3 linked regions of the Bombyx mori genome follow. Each later gene encodes a partner of the first gene's protein in a complex. Links are inferred from orthologs where the notes say so. Each region holds a gene or a part of one and is shown in the gene's direction. Other genes may lie near its edges.

What was found.
Region 2: WASH complex subunit 1 (region 1) and WASH complex subunit 4 share a complex: the UniProt entries of both Homo sapiens proteins name them as parts of the WASH core complex. The link is inferred for Bombyx mori from reciprocal best matches to the Homo sapiens genes WASHC1 and WASHC4.
Region 3: WASH complex subunit 1 (region 1) and WASH complex subunit 3 share a complex: the UniProt entries of both Homo sapiens proteins name them as parts of the WASH core complex. The link is inferred for Bombyx mori from reciprocal best matches to the Homo sapiens genes WASHC1 and WASHC3.

The regions. Positions count from the first base shown.
Region 1 is NC_085123.1:2,973,263-2,976,923, reverse strand, and holds part of WASH complex subunit 1, read left to right. Parts: intron 1-2,347; coding exon 2,348-2,480; intron 2,481-3,661. UniProt on the Homo sapiens protein: Acts as a component of the WASH core complex that functions as a nucleation-promoting factor (NPF) at the surface of endosomes, where it recruits and activates the Arp2/3 complex to induce actin polymerization, playing a key role in the fission of tubules that serve as transport intermediates during endosome sorting.
Region 2 is NC_085118.1:10,740,134-10,743,894, reverse strand, and holds the start of WASH complex subunit 4, read left to right. Parts: upstream 1-931; coding exon 932-1,209; intron 1,210-1,376; coding exon 1,377-1,543; intron 1,544-1,722; coding exon 1,723-2,213; intron 2,214-2,325; coding exon 2,326-3,761. UniProt on the Homo sapiens protein: Acts as a component of the WASH core complex that functions as a nucleation-promoting factor (NPF) at the surface of endosomes, where it recruits and activates the Arp2/3 complex to induce actin polymerization, playing a key role in the fission of tubules that serve as transport intermediates during endosome sorting.
Region 3 is NC_085118.1:943,618-946,908, forward strand, and holds WASH complex subunit 3, read left to right. Parts: upstream 1-944; 5' UTR 945-1,093; exon of another isoform or gene 1,094-1,140; intron 1,141-1,227; 5' UTR 1,228-1,300; coding exon 1,301-1,357; intron 1,358-1,514; coding exon 1,515-1,679; intron 1,680-2,062; coding exon 2,063-2,335; 3' UTR 2,336-2,708; downstream 2,709-3,291. UniProt on the Homo sapiens protein: Acts as a component of the WASH core complex that functions as a nucleation-promoting factor (NPF) at the surface of endosomes, where it recruits and activates the Arp2/3 complex to induce actin polymerization, playing a key role in the fission of tubules that serve as transport intermediates during endosome sorting.

The DNA.
Region 1 (3,661 bases):
TAATGGCGTAGTATATGCCTTGTAAATACCTTCTGATAAGATTACTGATTTGTAAAAAAAGTGTAATGCGCCCAACAAAAATGTTTTGAGAATAAATGTGTGAGAGAAATTGTCGGTCCTTAGGGGCCCCCTGAGAATGGGGGCTCTGGGCACGGGCCCCGTGTGCCCTTATGGTAAAGACGGTATTGCGCAACCTGCTAGCAACGTATTCGTACGGGGATCTAATGTACTCGTGAAATAATTAGCGTTAGTTAGCACAATATTCAAATCTAATGACACTTCAGTCGTCCGGGCATTTTAACCATTAATAACGACCGAGATAAGTTCATGTCTTTGACTAATTTTTTACTGGTGGTAGGACCTCTTGTGAGTCCGCGCGGGTAGGTACCACCGCCCTGCCTATTTCTGCCGTGAAGCAGTAATGCGTTTCGGTTTGAAGGGTGGAGCAGCCGTTGTAACTATACTGAGATCTTAGAACTTATATCTCAAGGGGGGTGGCGCATTTACGTTGTAGATGCCCATGGGCTCCAGTAACCACTTAACACTAGGTGGGCTGTGAGCTCGTCCACCCACCAGAGCAATAAAAATAATAATAATAATAAATGACAATAAATAACATATTTTTTTGATGTAAATATGCGATTATTAAGTATCACAAACATATTCGTACCACTTCATTCGCTTCTCAATTCAAATCTCAATCCCTCATTGTCACGCATGAGATGCGTGTGATACTTCAGTAGATACATGGGAATCAATTTATTTTTCCTGTCGCGTCTTCCTGTTTTTTATACATCTGCCAATAACATTATGACGGATAAATTGATATAGCAGTAGGGCGTATTTGAGCCCGCACAATTAGGTGCCATTATCTTACCTAATTGCGCCTTCTTTACTTTGTCGTAGCTCCTTAGTAACAAAAAAAATGGACAGCCAATATTAAAATAGAAATTAAATTGGGTAATTAGTGGAAGTTTGGTAATTTGTTTGTGTTATTCGAAGCATAATAGCATTTAATTAAAATTTGCTTTACCTACATAATTAGCTTTACTGGCGGTACGACGACGTTTAGTGAGTCCGCACGGGTAGGTACCACCACCCTGCCTATTTGTGCCGTGAAGCAGTAATGCGTTTTGGTTTGAATGGTGGGGCAGCCGTATAACTATACTGAGACCTTAAAAGTCATGTCTCGAGATGGGCGTTGGCATTTACGTTGTAGATGTCTATGGGCTCCGGTAACCACTTAACACCAGGTGTGTCGTGAGCTCGTTCACCTATATTATCAATAATAAAAAATAAAATTGAATTAACATTATTTTCTTGTACACTAAATAAATGGGATCGTATAAACGAAGCTTTTACTGATCTTGTCTTCTATCTTCTTCTTCTATATATATAAAAATGAATTGCTGTTCGTTAGTCTCCTTCGATCAATAATAGTACTGATCGAAGTTAGTCTCGCTAAAACTCGAGAACGGCTGGACCAATTTGGCTAATTTTGATCTTGAATTATTCGTGGAAGTCCAGAGAAGGTTTAAAAGGTAGATAAATATGAAAATGCTCGGAATTAAATGAAAACAACAATTTTGTTTTTCCTTTGATGTGTCCCCCGTCCGACGGATTCCGTTTGTTCGTTTTAAGTTTATTTAAGGCACTACGAAATCTGCCGGGTCAGCTAGTCTATTAATAAATTCACAAGCAGAGCAGTATATTGTACTGGTTCATAATTACGGAATGGCCTTGGCCGTGTCGCGCGACAAGCTCACGTACGATAATCAATGTTCGCTTTACAATTCTCACATCATTTACATATCGTAATGCAATCGCATTCAATATCCCAGTTCGTGCATCAATGTATGTTGAAATTTGAAAAATGATTTTTAACTCCTATATTGACCGATTTGTCTAATTTTGGTCTTGAATAATTTGTGGAATTCCAGAGAAGGTTTAAAAGGTAGATAAATATGAAAATGCTCGGAATTAAATAAAAATAACAATTTTGTTTTTTTTTTTCGGACGAGTTCCTTTTGTTTGTTTTAAGTTTATTTTATACAAAAGTTTAAGTCTTTTATTTCTCGATTGAGGAACTACGAAGTCTGCCGGGTCAGCTATATAGTAAATTATAAAAATAAGATTTACCGATGAATGTAAACTCATGATTTTTAAATGGATTAAACGAACTTCTACTAGTGGCTCTGCACGTACAGCACGCTTATATTGTCTTATATTCTTTATAAGGGAGTCCTCAAGATCAGGCAGCGGGACTGGGCTCTCTGCTCGGCAGTGTTAAAATTAATGAGTGACGGTGGCCACATTTTGTTCTAAAATGACTCCGTTTGTTTAACAGTGAAGAGAAAGTTTCGCCGCTATCTCCTCCCGGCACTGGTGATGCTCACGCGGACCTCATGGCTGCGATCAGGAGCGCGGGCGGTGCTGGGAGAGCGAAGTTACGGCACGCGGTCGATTCTGAAGCACCCGAGGTAAGGATATCTTGAATCAAATGTTGAAAACATAATCTTAATATCTGGTTTAGTACTTGACCTTTCGATTGGCGGTCGTCGTGTCTGATTTTATCGAAATTTAAAAATATTATTCCGTGGTCGACTAAAGTATTCGAATCAGCGTGCAAAACGGTACGATAAATGATAGATAATTATACTGTTGTCACATCGTAATGTCAGTCAGTGTCAAATCAAAAACGTAGTAGGTACATAATATAGGCAATGTCGAGTCGGTACATAAATATAAAAAAAATTACCCTAAATCTAATACTGTCTCGAAGTATTTCTGCCATTTTTGTAACACGAATATTTGACCACAGATACTATAAGTCAATTTCAAGGAAATAGGCTCTAATTAAAAACACTCAAGGATCTTATTTTACCACAACTAAATGAGGCACCGGGTCATTTGTTTTGAAATTATGCTTGCTCAATAGAGAACGTCTAAAACTTGTCTATTGCTCGTGTCAATAACACGTGTAAACATGCCTTACGTTATCTATACTAATATTATAAAGAGGAAAGATTTGTTTGTTTGTTTGTTTCGAATAGGGTCCGAAACTACTGGACCGATTTGAAAAATTCTTTTTCCATTAGAAGCCGACATTGTCCCTGATGAACATAGGCTACTTTTTTTAAATTTTTTTTTTTGGTTTCATGTTTGTTTTAATGTTTCCGAAGCGAAGCGAGGGCGGGTCGCTAGTTACTAAATATAGCTTTAAAAAAACTTGGCGGAACATTCTTAGTGTCGAACTTATGACCTCTTGAACGAGTAACCCTCAGACACAGCCCACTGAGTTTCTCGCCGGATCTTCTCAGTGGGTCGCATTTCCGATCCGGTGGTAGATTCTGCGAAGCACGGCTCTCGCTAGGGTTCGTGTTAGCAACGTCGTCAGGTTTGAGCCCCGTGAGTTCACCTAGTAGTTAAGGTTACGCTGAAATAGCCTCTCAAGGCTCTCAGCTAGGTAGGAAAAAAAAATTGAACGAGTATAGAGCTAATTTTGAGACCTACCGAAATACCTTTGAAATGATCATCAATATGCATACCTAAGTTTTCTTACTGGATGTAGGTCATTTTGTCAACGCAAAACCGCCGTCGCCGAAACATGTCTTGTTGGATCCCCCGGATTCACTCTCGGTGCTCTTAGGACCCTCAAGCA
Region 2 (3,761 bases), on another chromosome or scaffold:
ATTTGAATGTAAGAGAAAGCTGTTGCACTGCCAATCACACAACTATTTAGTATCATTTTGTTGGGTACCTAGTCACTGTGGCATATCTGGAAATGTGAAAGCTGACAGTTTGGCCAACAGTGCTACTGTGACCGGTGACGTATACCCGTACAAGAATTTTGGCCATGATCTTGCTGCTTTGCCCGGCATATGCCTCCACAAATCGTGGAATATGTGTTGGGAAGAGAGCGGCCGGATTAAGGGTCGTTTCTTGTATGCTATACAGTCTTCCGTTCCCAGGAAGCCATGGTTTGCCAAATTGTCGTTTGGTAAAACCGCCACTTCTACTATAATTCGTATGCGTCTGGGACATAACAGCCTTCCAGTTCATTTGCACAAACTTGGTATCGTAACTGGTACCGCCTGTGAGTGTGGCGAGAGTTATTGTGACCTGAATCATATTTTCTTTGCTTGTTCTTTATATGATCATTCTTCCTTATATACTTCTTTAGTATCTGTCTCTGTTCCCCTTCCTACTAATATTTCTTTACTTCTTCGAGATTTTAATCCCCTTGTATATAGTATTTTAAGTAGGTTTATTTTAAATAATAACATTAAACTATAATTTTGATTTATTTTCCCTGTTATATAATTATTCTGATTTTTTTTGTAAATTCAATTCGTTCTAAATCATTTATGTTTTGTTGCGATAAGTTTCCTTCGTTTTTTATTATTTATAAACTGTAAATAAATAAAACGGCGAATTATAAAAACATTATTACTTGACGCTGGCTAATGCACAAAACGTGCCAGAGCCAAAAATAAAGAAGAAGAAGAATAAACATCAACAAAAAACATTTTAAACAGAATTATCGTAATTAATAGTCAACAAAAAGTACATAGTGATTATTTCTTTCAATATTATTTTAATCTGAAATACAAGTGCATAAAAATGAAAAGTGATTTCGAGAAAGAAAGTACAAGCAATATTTTAAAAAAATATGGCATATTTTTCAAGATGCAGTATCAGGTTTTGGCATTCAATTGCAATAATGAAATACTAGATGATAATAAAACATTTTTGCCGATTCAATTACTCATGAGTCCACACGAGCTCGTACCAATTACTGAGTTAGTAGTATCGGATAACACATTTATGACTAAAGTTTTGAGTGTGTTTACTTCCTTATGTGTTGAAGTAAATAACTTGAAAGAGGAAGCCTTTGAAAAGTGAGTTTTATTTATCGAGTTTCCGAAAATCCACAGTAATAATAGCTATGATTGAACTTTATAAAAATTCTCATTTTTATGAAGAAACATTCCACAGTTACGTCTAAGCAGAAGTGTAAACTTTTAATTATGCAAGTGAATGTAGCAATATTTTAATTGTGTTTCAGGTATTTTATCTACTTGGCTGCTTATGAAAAATATGAAACAGAAGATGTGAGTTCCCAGATGGAAATGATATGCTTACTCTGCGCATTTATCATTCGATGTGATGAAACTTTAAGAAACATGTGCAACCAAGTTTTTGCTTTGTTTTCCGATGGAACTGTTAATCTCAGTGAGTTTACTATTAATTATTTTTGTTCAATATTACATGGTTAAATTAGCATATTATTTTTTTATTTGATTAAATTTATGCTATCACTGAAAGTAGATAGCCCCGACATTAGTTGTAAATTTCGAATTATTAAAATGAAATTATTCATTAATGACCTTAATACTAACATGATATTGTAGATTGCATTCAACTACACTATATCATCAACCACATTGGAGAGATATTTACTATTCTTGTCTTACTTGAAATACTGATAGCCAATACTTCAATGCCCACAAATTGGAATAAATTTTGCAAAACATTAAAAACATACCATAACAAGAACTCGGCAGCTTTAGATATTACTGAAGAGAAATTTAATGCAATGATGGGGGCTATTAATAACATCACAGTCAAAATAATGAATGATGATATTGTACAAAAATCATTACAAAGTGTATCACTATTGAGAAAGAACTTGATTGACAAGAATTGTTCTATGATAGCAACAGAGTTTTCACACTACCTTAAACAGGGAATTATAAATTTGGACAAACTTGTACAGGAACAACCCAATGTTCGAAATATGTACAAATGTATTAAAATTAATAGTTTATTTGTATTGTCTTCACAATTGTTTGGTAATGTAGACAAGAAGATATTTAAGTCATTAGTGGAATTGAACACAAAGGTTGGTGTTAATTTTATTTATAGCAATTGTAACTTTTGTAACATTTACACATGGCACAGACAGAGAGCCAGCTGAAATGAATAAAGTTTATACAAACAGTCTTATTTTTCAGGCACACAGTGTTCATGTGATTGGAACAACTATGTGGTATCCTGAGCAATTTCTACAGAAACATGCCCCTGCACTTTGTGCAAAACAGGAAAAATTATCACAAACTATGTTGAAAACACGGCAATCGTATATCAATATGAAAAAAACTAGCCTATCTCGTGATATAATTAATCTTCAAATAGTATGTGGTCAATGGGTGTTAAATATTGAAGATTTCTTTTCTGCTGATCATCATAGGCTTAGTGCTGCTGAAATGAATTTACATTCCAGAACTCTTTTAAATGGCTTGGACCTAGCATCCAGAATCAATCATGAAGTTTTGACATTGATAAATTTACATCTTTCCCTTGGGATACCTCTTCCAAAGAGTATGTTAATGTTGGTATTTGAGATAATCAATATTTTAAAATCAATGCTGAATGCAATATCACGGCATAGAAGCCAAATAATTTTATCTATCAATATGGTCATTCAACATTTTGTATTCCAAGCAACATCAACAATATTAGAAGTAAAGAAATTATTAGTTTCAGACAAGAATTTCGCAAATAAAAGATTGGATGAACTTACATGCATCGTTATTGCAGAAAAAGCACTTCGTGGCGTAGCTACAATTGAACGAAATGTAGTAGCTAACACAGCACTGAGCTTTATACCTGAAAGTACTTATTTAGAAGACAGCTATGTAAAGCTTGGTTTGTTGTTAGAGAATGTTCAAACATTGACAAACTTGATGAAATCAATGGAAAGTTTTTGCAATTGCTCTTGGCTGTTCTGGCATCAGAACATATTTCCAATTTACTTTGATCAAAACTTTTCTATGCAATTGAGTACTTTAAAATTAAAATACTTCTTAATGGCCTTAGAAGACTGTACGGTGCTATTACATAAAACAGATAAATTATTTGATAGTAATATAAAAGAAGATTTTATGGAAACAGTTAAAAAGTACATGGAACAAAAATTTATCAAAGGTGCAAGTCAGAATATTGAAACAAATTTACGATTGCATATACATTCACATCTTCAACTTGATGTAATCAATCCATTTACTTTTGAAATGGTAAAAAAATTGCTTCTAGCAATTAATACTTTTAGAGTTCAGTACATTTACATGTGTGTTGTGCCATCAGTTGAACACTATCTTTCAACAATGTTCTACAACCTAACTACCGTTGTATTATCAGATTGGAAAACTTATGGTGAAATGAGACAAATGGCGAGACTAAAATTCAATTTAAAAACGGTTCAAGATAATCTCCCAACTCAGACTCTGGAGCAGGGCCTAGATATACTAGAGATTATGCGCAACATTCATATATTCGTTTCGAAGTATCTTTACAATCTAAACAATCAAATATTTATTGAAAGAAGCAGCAACAATAAACACTTGAGCTCAATTAACATTCGACATGTCGCCAATTCTATACGGACTCA
Region 3 (3,291 bases), on another chromosome or scaffold:
ATATTAAATTAATATTATATTATAAAATGGAATTTAATGAAAGAAGAACACATCGAGTAGATATTAGATGAGTTGATAATGAAACAATGGTGCTTACTGAGAGATCAACGAACTTATTTTGAAAATATTCTCGAGTGGCAGCCACACACGACGCAGCTTAGATAGACTTTCGACGAGGTGAACTGACGTCCTACTGAAAGTCGCAGGAATCTAATAAATACGGTCGCTGCACGTCTAGGAGTGGATGATTTGTGTGAACACGTCCAATGTTTGTTTGATTTTTTAAAACTTGTGCCATTTCACATGTATTCAGTGATTAAAAAGCTTTCATTACTACAAAATTAGACATTTTATTACAGATACATTCGCGAAGCAGTTGCCCTTAGCTGTTAGATCTCCTACGGAGTCGTGGCCAGGTCAGGCCTTCGGTACTTTGGAGGATTGGCTTGTGCGGCTTTTCGAAGCCTGCCTTGAGCCCGGACGGAAATCGGACAGATTCATCCTTCTGAGGAAAGAGGAGCTCCTCTAGGAGTCATCCGTGGTGTACCACCACATCGTGTTGCTGGACGAAACTAGAAAATTGTTGGAGCAAGTCGTGGATGCGTCATCTGCCCCATCCCCAGGACGGGTTCCAATCGGTCAGCCGAACAGTACGGCTTCAGAAAGGGCCGGTCTACCATCGACGCAATCATGCGTGTGTGTACCCTCTTTGATGAGACTGTTGCCCGGGGCGAGGTGGCAGTTTCCTTAAAGTCTCAGTAAATAACCATCATTTTACTTAGATTTCACGCCAATTGATTATTGTTTCAAATTAATCAACTCTATTTCATTTTACTTCATATTATCATTTTTCATAAAATACAATGATAACTTAGGCTGTATCGTATGATACTTTTGCCTTTCCAGTTGGAAAAATAGAACTACTACAAATATTGACAGTGGACAGTAGCACTATTGTCAAAGAATAGTGTTATATTGATAAATGTAAATTAATGATAATAATGTCAGACTTAGGTGGTGGTACCGTACCTACTGTACCTACTGAAATATTCCTTTTAATTTGCTTACATACTCTTTTAACGTAAATAAATAGGTACGACTGTCACGGAAGGAAAAAGATTGTTATTGTAAAATAATTAGGTGCTTTTTATATTAAACTTAGTGTAATTAAAACTCGTGGACCTATTAGTCAATGTATTGAAATGTAATTCAATTTGGTTTTTTCAGTAGAACAAAACAAATTCAAGCTTCCAAACCACAAGACAAATTTCTTTTTCGTCTTGTTTATATTCTACTGAAAATGACCATCCAAGAAGATTTAACTCAATCCGAATCCCCACAAACGGATTTAACTAAGGTTTTAAATTTGGAATTATTATTATTTGTTGTAAAATTTAATGCAGTACAAACTTCACGGCCTTGATTATCTTTATAAACTTCCTAATTCTAGAAAACACAATATTTTTTTATAAATGAGAATAATTTATTTTTAATATTTAAAAAACAAATTGCAGGTTGCGGCATTACATCAAAAACGTACATTGGCATTTGTAAATCATTTCCTAACAATAAATGTACAATTTCTGAATAACTTTATGACGAATTGCGAGCAGAAACTGATGCAGTTTGAGAGAAAATTAGAAAAAGTTAATGCTGCCATGGTTTTGTTAGAATCTAAGGTGATTATATTTTTATAAATTATTGTATGTAAACAAAAACGGATATCTAAAATGTTTTTATTTTCTATCATTAGTCATAATAAACCATTTCTGCAAGACCTTCTCTGGAAAGCTGTTGATTGATCTGATAAAGTAAGAGCAGCCTATTGATATATTTGCAATGCATAAAGCTTCAATTGAATTAAAAAAAAAACGGTCTCCTACCAGATTAGAAATTAGACTACTACTAATTTTAAGATATGGCATCATTGCATTTCACCATAATCCTTATTCAGGTTGTGTTTATGCCATTTCTTTAATTGCCCATGTGCCTCAAAAACTTCATTTTAATTGATAGCATACATCAAACCGATACATAAATAGATAAAACTTATTGATTTCAGTTATCTTCAATACCAGAATTAGACATTCCTAAGCAGACAAATACAAGTAATGTTACAGAGACTGAATCTACTGAAAGTCAAAATGAAACAGAACTCCAAGAAGAAAATCTAGAAAGAAAACTAGAAGACCAAGCCCCAGCAGAAATGAAAACTAAACCTGAATATGATAAATTTGTTAAAATGGTTCAAGTAGGAGTGCCATTGCAGGCAGTGAAACTCAAAGTCTCGTTAGAAGGTCTCGATCCTGAAATACTGGAGCAATTAATAAAATAAAATAATATTTTATTATTTACATTATTGTGTTGTTAGCATAGTATGATCAAATAACCATAGTGTGTAAACCATAGTTTACTTTTATAGAACAAACAATAGAACAGTGTATTCTGTGATACCTCTAATCTAATGGGATCATAAGTGTAAAATTAATAAAATAAAATAATATTTTTTTTTTGTTTAATTGTAATCAACGTATAGTTTAGAAAATATTATCTTTTATCTATAAAAATATCATTCTAATTGTTAAAATTGTAATGTTTTTGTTCTTATCGTTTTAAATAATGTAATAGGCTCAAATATTTAAGTAGCATTCCTTAATATTTTTATGAAATGTTGAAAATGTTGTTTTTAATAAAGGATTTTATAATCATGCAAGATTATTGATCACATAGAGGTGGACCTAGAAAAAAATCATTAAATACTTCTGAAAGTTGATATATGCTTACTATTTTAATTAATTTATTTTGTGAAACATGTTGTATGCGATTTATTCCTTTTTTTGCAAATAAATAGTATTCTTATAGGGGTAGTAGGTGTATTGATTTATGAGAGATTTATTTGACGTAAAATTGGCCATGTCAGTTAGATTGTGTACAATCATGCTACAGAGATACTATTATATTATATTCTAGTAACAATAATAGGCACCTATAGGCATCAAATGTTGTACCATCCTAAGTAATTGCAGAAATAGTTCTCTGCCAGCACCCTGATAATAAATAAAAATAAGGCTGGCCATACCATTAATATTTTTATGAGACATATTAATTAATGCTAAGCATGATTTTTTTATTCCTACTCATAGAAGTTATAGTTATAGTATTACCATACGATGTGGATGGTAATAAAGTATAGGTGCAATAAATGGGAGGTTTTAAGGATGCATCTGGTCCAAAGTGGTGACCTTGATTACATATTGATAAAGTTCTTAGAGCAAAACCAAATTAATCTGA